Linked DNA regions of Nothobranchius furzeri. The protein of the gene in region 1 purifies or fractionates together with the protein of each later gene. This does not show direct contact. Links are inferred from orthologs where the notes say so. Each region holds a gene or a part of one and is shown on either strand. Other genes may lie near its edges.

Region 1 (4,175 bases):
CCAAAAATGTTTGCATTTATAATTGATGGAATCTCTCTGAGATCCACTTGCATTTTACTTGTTTGTAAGTCAAATGAAAACCTACTTTACCTACCTGCATGTAGTTTGTAGAATAAAGGCAAACATTAAATGAGCTTAATTAGAGTAGAACAGGTTTTCATATAAACTATTATAATTTCTAATAAAAGTATTCCAACTGTTGAAGTAAACCAGTTAATGAAAGAAATGTTTCAACAAGGTGATTATCATTTTTGTTTGTTTACGACGTGTTTCTATAATGCCTGAAAGCTTTGTTTCCAGATAGAAACTTTAAAGTTTTGTCACAGACTCGTGACATAAAGTCCACCCTCTTACATTTTTAGATTTTAATGCATCATAACAAAGCTGAAAAGGCCAGATATTTACCAGGTATTAAAAGCAAAACGAAAAGTTTTGTGTGGAAAAGGAAGTATCAGCCAGCTGGTAATCAAACCTGAGTTTACTGGTATGGAGAATACAGGCGTGTGTAAACACAGTGTCTCAGTACAGGGGTCAAGAGGTCGCTAACAGCTTAGTTCCAATTTGAACACAACCTCTAAATTGAGGTCAGCCCAATTGCCATCAACAGCAGCTCAGATATTAATTGTTCACAACACCTCCACAGACCTCCGCTTGAAAAAAGGTGAACTGTCCCTTTAAAGAAGATGGTTATCGTAGTTCCATTGTCCATACAAACATCTTTATAAAGTTCTTTGCACAAAATTCTTCTGACATGAAGTGATTTCAGCTTTTTTATTTCGACAGTGAGTTGTTTCAAGCCTCACTTTAAGAAAACATCCATCCTACTCAGGCTAATATAACCTGAGGTGCCCTCATATTCAGGGGGGTTTCAGGTAGAGTTGCTGCTGCTCCATGGGGGTTTCAGGTAGAGTTGCTGCTGCTCCATTGGTAGTACATCTCCCTTGCACCTGGGAGTCAGCGCAACCTCCCCGCTCTCACAGTCAGCGAACGGGGAGAAACAGCCTTGCAGCTGCCCTGGGCAAGGCTGAAGTTCACAGGCGTCACTCTGACCACCCCCAGCAGGTAATGTGACACGGACACAACATGACCGACACCAGCTGAGCGGGGTTTGAACCTGTAACCTTCCAATTATGAGGCAGACACTTAAGTCCTCTTCCACCTTGCCCCAATTCCCTGTTTGTGTCATCACAAACTGGGACTTTTTTTAGGCTTGTTAAACCAAAATGCATATGTCCATTTAAAATCTTCCGCTTGGGCACAAAGGGCAGTATTCAAATAAGGAATTGATGATTAGTTAATATATTTTAGATGTGTTTTTTTTTATCATTTGTACATTATGTGCTTCATTTGACTGATGTAATATGTCACCATCGCTTTAAAAAACATTGCTTCCGGTTCAGAGGTCGCAGTGACGCGAGGTCGCTGTGTCCTTCCCCACGTGCTTCCTGTATCTTCCAGAAGAAGCAGCCGTAACCTGCGTGGCTAAGGGGGCTTTCAGGGGCGTTAGATTAAATTATTTTGTTCTCACACAGCGTTTTAATAAGCACACCGCTATGCTGAAGTCGTTTGTCCGCGTAGCGGGAGCCGCTGCTCGCTTGTCCTCAGTCTCGCGGGCCTTACCAATCAACTGCCCGACTCTGTGCGCTCCCAGCTCGGCTACAATTCGGCCGTTCACCCGCTCCCTGTGGATGCTGAATAATAACGGAGCGTCATCAGGCTACAGACCCAAACTGTTCAGCTCAAAGGTGTTGGGTCCTTCTGTGTCGTGTGGATGTGAAGGACTGCACACAGAAGGTAAGGTCACGTTTTAAAGTAACGTCTTAATCAGCTAGCTTGTTAGCCTCAAGCTAGGAGATTTACAACGTAATTAAACATGAAGTTCTAGGTTTTAAATACACATGTAAACACTCAAGTACACACACTTGTCTTACTTAAGCGAGTTAAGTGAACTTTATACGCAGCATTTCATATTTAGTCTTTCTGAAAGGAGTTTTAAAGGTGTTGATGCTAATTCAGACAGATCTATCATTTTTGCCCTCACTTTATTCAGGCGATAAAGCATTTGGTGACTTCCTGTCTGATGAGATCAAAGAAGAGAAGGTAATCCAGAAAAACAAAAGTCTACCTAAAATGACTGGAGGATGGGAGGTGGGGATGAATGGAACAGAGGTGAAACTCACAAAGCATGCTTCTGGAGACAAGTAAGGATGCTACGATTTGTTCTGAGAGGAAGTGGTGCTCAGTGTGGGCTCACGGTGTGGTCTGATTTCAGAATCACCGTCACGTTCAATGTCAACAACAGCATTCCTCCTAACTTTGAGGAGGAGGCAGTGGAGCAGGGGCAGTCACAGAAATCGGCAGAGGAGGAAGTAAGCCCATCATCAATCTATGACCTGATTGGTCGTGGAAAGAAAAAATGATTTTAACACTTTATAATTCTATAATTGTATCATTTTTGTCCTTCTTTGTAGCCAGAGATTGTGTCAACACCCAACTTTGTTGTTGAAGTGACAAAACAAGCTGCTAAACATTCCCTTGTGTTTGACTGTCATTTTCCTGAAGATGAGGTAAAACAAACATACACAAGCACATGCTAAATAGTGAGGAGCCGGTTCTGTCTCAGTTAAATGAAACCTGCTGGATTTGTGTGTTGTAGGTAAGTAATGCCGAGGGGGAGGAGGAGAGCGACATCTTTGCAATCCGGGAGGTCAGTTTCCAACCAGAGGGGGATGTGGACTGGAAGGAGACCAGTTACACACTCAACACAGACTCCCTGGACTGGGTAAGAGCTGAGACTGGTTCAGAAAGTTAATGAGGCTGCAGGACGCTACTCTCATAGTCCGTTTATTCCAGGCGCTTTATGACCACCTGATGGATTTCTTGGCTGACCGCGGGGTTGACAACACCTTCGCCGATGAGCTGATGGAGCTGAGCACCGCCATTGAGCATCAAGAGTACATCAAGTTCCTGGAGGATCTCCAGGGCTTTGTGAAATGTAATTAATGTCAAATGTAATAGTTTCTACCTAATAAAGATGGAGGCTGTAGGGTAAAGTGCTCAGTGACTGATTAGATGGTCGCCAGCAGCTGCCACACTACTCTTAGTCAGTAAAGGTTTAAGTTTTTCTGTAAAGTGTGGCTGTAACTTGAGAGAGAACCTACTGCCAGTTACAGAAGTCTGGGTTTTACTGCCTGGCTCATCCGTAAAAGTCAGGATTTCTGAAAACGCCAACTAACCTGTTTTTCTTTCCGTTTTTAATTGTTTATTTATGACGGATCTGAGCAACTGAGTTTTTGCTGACTGATGCGGTTTTGTCGAATGAGTGAGGTGATGTTTGTTGGAGAGATGGAAAGTTTGTCCAATAAAACCGTTTGATACCAGAATTCAAATGTAATTTTTCTGTGGCCACCGGTACCATTTAGAGTTACAGTTACCTTTTAGCACAGGGGTGTCCAATCCACTATCCAGCATGTTTTCCTGCTTCAACACAACTGATTCAACAGCTGATAGCAGGTTCTGCAGATGCCTGTTAATCAGCTATTGACTAATCTGAGGTGTGTAGATGCACAGAAACCTCTCAAACAAGGAACATTATTGGAAGCCACTGTTCTAGCAAAACACAGCTGCTAGCAGAGGTATATTCATGGATCCAGTCGCACCACCCGGAGGTGTGAGTGGGGTCGGGAGTGTTTCACAAGCTATTTTTTTTGCAGGAACTTTTCTGCAGCTGTTTCGGTTTTCTTCTGGCCTCTTATCTGTTGCATCTCTAGGCAGGTAGCTGCGGGACATTTGTCAGTTTCCTGAGTGTCGGGTTTGGACAGTTGGACCTTTCTGGTAATCTTGACAGCTGAAGGAATCCTGTTTCTCTTTGTTTTTAGCCTTATGGTCCTGCTCAAGTGGCTTCAGAATTAATCTTCACCCCTGTTCAAGCATTCATATATGCACAATAGTTTTATGAATTTAGGAGAGAATTGATTGCAGCTGTAATCAGCTCTGGGTAGTGACTGAAAGAATGATCGCATATACAAGTGGACAAAATGAGTTTTCTTCTCAGGGTGTCTGAGCTCTCCCTTACAGATAGCTCTTGGTTTTATATCCATCTGCAAACTATCTAAAAGTTGTGTTTTTGTGAATTAATTTGGGTTTTATGCTCTTCATTACTTACATACTCTAAT
Region 2 (3,813 bases), on another chromosome or scaffold:
CTCACACAGGGTAAGAGCAGACTCAGGCCTGAGCTTCGTTTACCGGTTCCTGCACACGAATAAAGTGTGTTCAGAACAAATACGGGTCGTAGACGAGTTGGGCTTTTTCATCATCAACCCCAACGCTCACCGCCATCTCAGACGCAGGTTTATTAGCAGCACATTCTCTGTTTTCTCTTGAATTTTGTTTCCTCACAAACAGAGGAAGTCGGTTTTGGGAAGAACGCCGGGACTCGGCGGGTCTCAGACGGATGAAAGGCGGCCTGATGCGAGCGGACGGCTCTCACCTTGTTTAGGAAGCCCTTGAGCACGCCGGCAGCTTTCACCGACAGGGACCTCGGGATGCGAATGGGCTTCTCGAGAATAACTGTTGGCAAAAAGAAGGACAGCGGGAAGAGGAGAGACAATGAAAGGGCAGTTGTCAGTAAGGAGGTGGATGATTCAGCGGCCAGGCGGCCTGTAGGTGACCATGTCTGCTGCGTGGGAGTCAGATCCTCCTCCTCCTCCTCCTCCTCCTCCTCCTCCTCCTCCTCCTCCTCCTCCTCCTCCTCCTCCTCCTCCTCCTCCTCCTCCTCCTCCTCCTCCTCCTCCTCCTCCTCCTCCTCCTCCTCCTCCTCCTCCTCCTCCTCCTCCTCCTCCTCCTCCTCCTCCCAGCTCCAACAACAACCAGCCTCGAGATTCACAGAGAGGAGAACAGAAATACGCTAAAATACTGAAGGACGAGAACAGCTCCACATCAAAGTTTTTAATAAAAAGAAAATCAGTTCCAGCTGGAGGTCATGTGACCGGCGCGTTTTCATCCTCAGGTTTCAGATTCACGGCTACACTGTAAAAACACCACTCACAAGGACTTTCACTGACTTTTCCACTTTGATACAACATGGGTTCTGTCTCTGATACCACGCACCCCCAACAGAACCGGCCCAGTACCAGGTGACATATGGTGGCGGCTCATACGTGTGGGGGTCGGGTTCTGCTGGCAGACGTTGACTCAGGAACCCGCTGACGGAGCGGTGAGACCATCAGGTGGACAGAGTCGTGGCAGATCCTCGCCGTGGCGCTCACAGCTGAGAGGATCTGCGTCAGTCTGAAGCACGGAGGAATTTCTGCTGGGGTGGACCGTGTTTGGACGGGTGGAGGTGACCCGGGGGGAGACCATATGGCTGCAATAAAGCATAAATAGAGATCTCTGCTTCCTGAAGGAGGGGCCTACAGTCGAGGTGGAGTTTTCTTTCATTACATCCCATAATAAGTCTCTGAGTGGACCCAGTTCAGGCTCTGGCGGACAAACTAAATAAAACACACAGCAGGAAGTTTTTATTAAAGGCACACTTAGCCTCTCTGCTTGCTTTTAGCACCCCCTAGTGTCCACGACTACTTCTCTGAGGTCCTCGCTGTGCTTTCATCTCTTTTACACCTTCATCTCAGTTTGGCCCGCTGGCCCGTGTTGCCGCAGAGACTACAAATCCCATGGGGCTTTGCGGCATTAGCGTGTCAGTCGAAGCGCTCCCTCCTTTCAGCGTCTGCAGCCATACCCTCCTCATTCTCACACGGAAAACACTCAGAGTTTACTCAGCGATAGACCGAGTGGACCGTCCGCGGCCGACATGAAAAGCTCACCAACCAACTTCCAGTTTAGCGACGCACTCCAGTCAGCGTGACCCCGTCGCTGCTGCAGCTGTCATCTCTCCTCCCCGACACACCGACCCAACTCCGGCCGTAGCTGCTCACATTCTCCATGTTCAGCAGCACATCTGTCTATGTGAGCACCTGTTGTCTGTGATGAAGATGAACAGAACAACCCCGGAGCCTCAGCTCGGAGCCCACAGGTGCAGGTGTGTTAGGGTTAGGGTTAACTCTAACCCTGGAACAGGTGAGCTCCACAGTAAATCACTGGGCTTGAATATTGTGGCTTCAGGCACTTTTCCTGCTCTAAAGCAGGTGAGATGATTTCCTGTAGGAGAATTGTTTTTGTTTTCCTGTAAAATAAGGTTAGACCTGCTCTAAAATGGACCTGAACAGGCTGCAGATGGAATAAAACAGAAAATGCCTTTATTGTCCCTCAGCAGGAAGGGTTGGTGCGACAGCAGCAATAACGATCTTCACAGGAGCAGAAAAGGAGAGTAAACAATAAGAATAACAAGTAAACAACAGAGAAACATCAGCGATTCAAAAGGTTCATTCAACGATGCTGAATTCACACATTTCAGGAATAAAAGAGTAAAAATGGAGACATGATGTGTTGATTTAAAATGTACTTGCTCGTGTGTAATTTAGTTATTCAGTGTTGATGAAAGGTGGAAAGGTTCACCCACAAATACCTGTAAGAAAAAGGAAAATGGCCGCATTTGCCGTCACTTTAAATAAATACGGAGTTCAGCCCACGACGTCGTCCCGGCCTGGTTTAAGCGCTGAAACGTCTCCCAGCCTTCCTCAGTGTCTACAGGATTGACTCGTCACTAAACCCAACCAATCAGCTGTGTTCATGCGACTTCCTGGCCACAGAGGGCAGCAGGGTCTGGCCACTTCATTAACTCTGTAAAGGCTCATTTTAGCGCACCTGCTCAAGAAAATCTTATAAAAATATGAAAAAGTCGCAGAGAATCCCTTTAACACTAACGAAGTCCGCGCTGCAGCGCCCCCGTTCTGATTGGCTGATGCTTACATTTTAAATGGATTTTAGGAAGTTTATTCAGTCATTTATCTACTGTTAGCAAACCACCTGCATGAGACGTCAGAGTGGGCGGAGTCTCTAGAAACAGGAAGTAAACCTCTGAATCAGGGGTGGGTGTGTCCAAACCTAGGGGCTGCACCCTTCCAAGGATGCGTTGTACGGCCGATTATGTCCCAGTGAAGAGAGGAAGTCGTCCAAAGTTGAAGAAAACTCCAAATGCGTCTTTTAAAGGACCGGTCTGGTGTCCCCCCCCCCCCCGTTCAGATTAAGCCCGGGAGGACTAACGCCTTAAACGTTGGTGTACTTAAACCTGGTGGGAGAAACTAAAAGCTTGTGTTGTTAGGATTTTAGTGTACATAAAGAAATCCTCGTAGATGAGCCTCTGACTGGTATTTCCCGTTTAGTGACTTATGGTTGCTAGGCAACAGGACATGCGCTGAAATAGGGCGGCAATAAATATGATGACTCAACCATATTACTTCACAGCCGCTCACTCCCGGGCTGGGCGGTCGAGGAAGGGCCTGTCCTACCCGGTCCATGCAAGACGGGTCCTCACAAGGACACTGTCCTCGACTTCGTTGCTTCAGTCACTTCCTGTTTCTAGAGAACCCGCCCACTTTGAGGCATGTGGACAGACAGCAGCAGGTGAGTCCTGGTCTCTCACCTTGAAAGAGGTACTCTTCTGTGTTCATGTCGGGATTGTCTGTGATGATGTCAAACGGGGACCTTCCAGCCATCATCTCAAACATCAGAACACCCAGAGCCCACCAGTCCACACTGAAACCTGAGAGGTCAAAGGTCAGATGGTAAGAAAACCTTTCATAACCAGAAACTACGGTAACCATGAAGCCAACTTCTGCTGACCGTAGTCCTCTCCTCGGAGAATCTCAGGAGCGATGTAGTTGGGAGTCCCGCAGAAAGTACTGGTGGTGTCGCCGGGTCTGATCCCCTCCTGGAAGACGGAAGAGATGAGATGTGAGCGAGAACATCAACACAGGACAAGTCCTGAGGTGGTGCTGTGAGGCAGGAGATCTCTGTGGGAAGGTCTTCTTCTAGAGGGTCATTAAAGGACACCTTCCTTTATACCTCCAGAACTTAACGGTGCTACCTTCTGATCATGTGATCTGCTCGCAGCACCA

Evidence for each region.
Region 2: the proteins of c1qbp (region 1) and prkcz purify together in Homo sapiens (affinity purification with mass spectrometry; 5 studies listed by BioGRID and IntAct, with this or other methods). This does not show direct contact. The link is inferred for Nothobranchius furzeri from reciprocal best matches to the Homo sapiens genes C1QBP and PRKCZ.

Annotation. Positions count from the first base shown.
Region 1 is NC_091750.1:66,120,782-66,124,956, reverse strand, and holds c1qbp (complement component 1 Q subcomponent-binding protein, mitochondrial), read left to right. Parts: upstream 1-1,399; 5' UTR 1,400-1,553; coding exon 1,554-1,794; intron 1,795-2,050; coding exon 2,051-2,201; intron 2,202-2,272; coding exon 2,273-2,369; intron 2,370-2,471; coding exon 2,472-2,567; intron 2,568-2,656; coding exon 2,657-2,782; intron 2,783-2,853; coding exon 2,854-3,003; 3' UTR 3,004-3,383; downstream 3,384-4,175.
Region 2 is NC_091755.1:44,952,275-44,956,087, reverse strand, and holds part of prkcz (protein kinase C zeta type), read right to left. Parts: intron 3,627-3,813; coding exon 3,539-3,626; intron 3,459-3,538; coding exon 3,339-3,458; intron 368-3,338; coding exon 288-367; intron 1-287. UniProt on the Homo sapiens protein: Calcium- and diacylglycerol-independent serine/threonine-protein kinase that functions in phosphatidylinositol 3-kinase (PI3K) pathway and mitogen-activated protein (MAP) kinase cascade, and is involved in NF-kappa-B activation, mitogenic signaling, cell proliferation, cell polarity, inflammatory response and maintenance of long-term potentiation (LTP).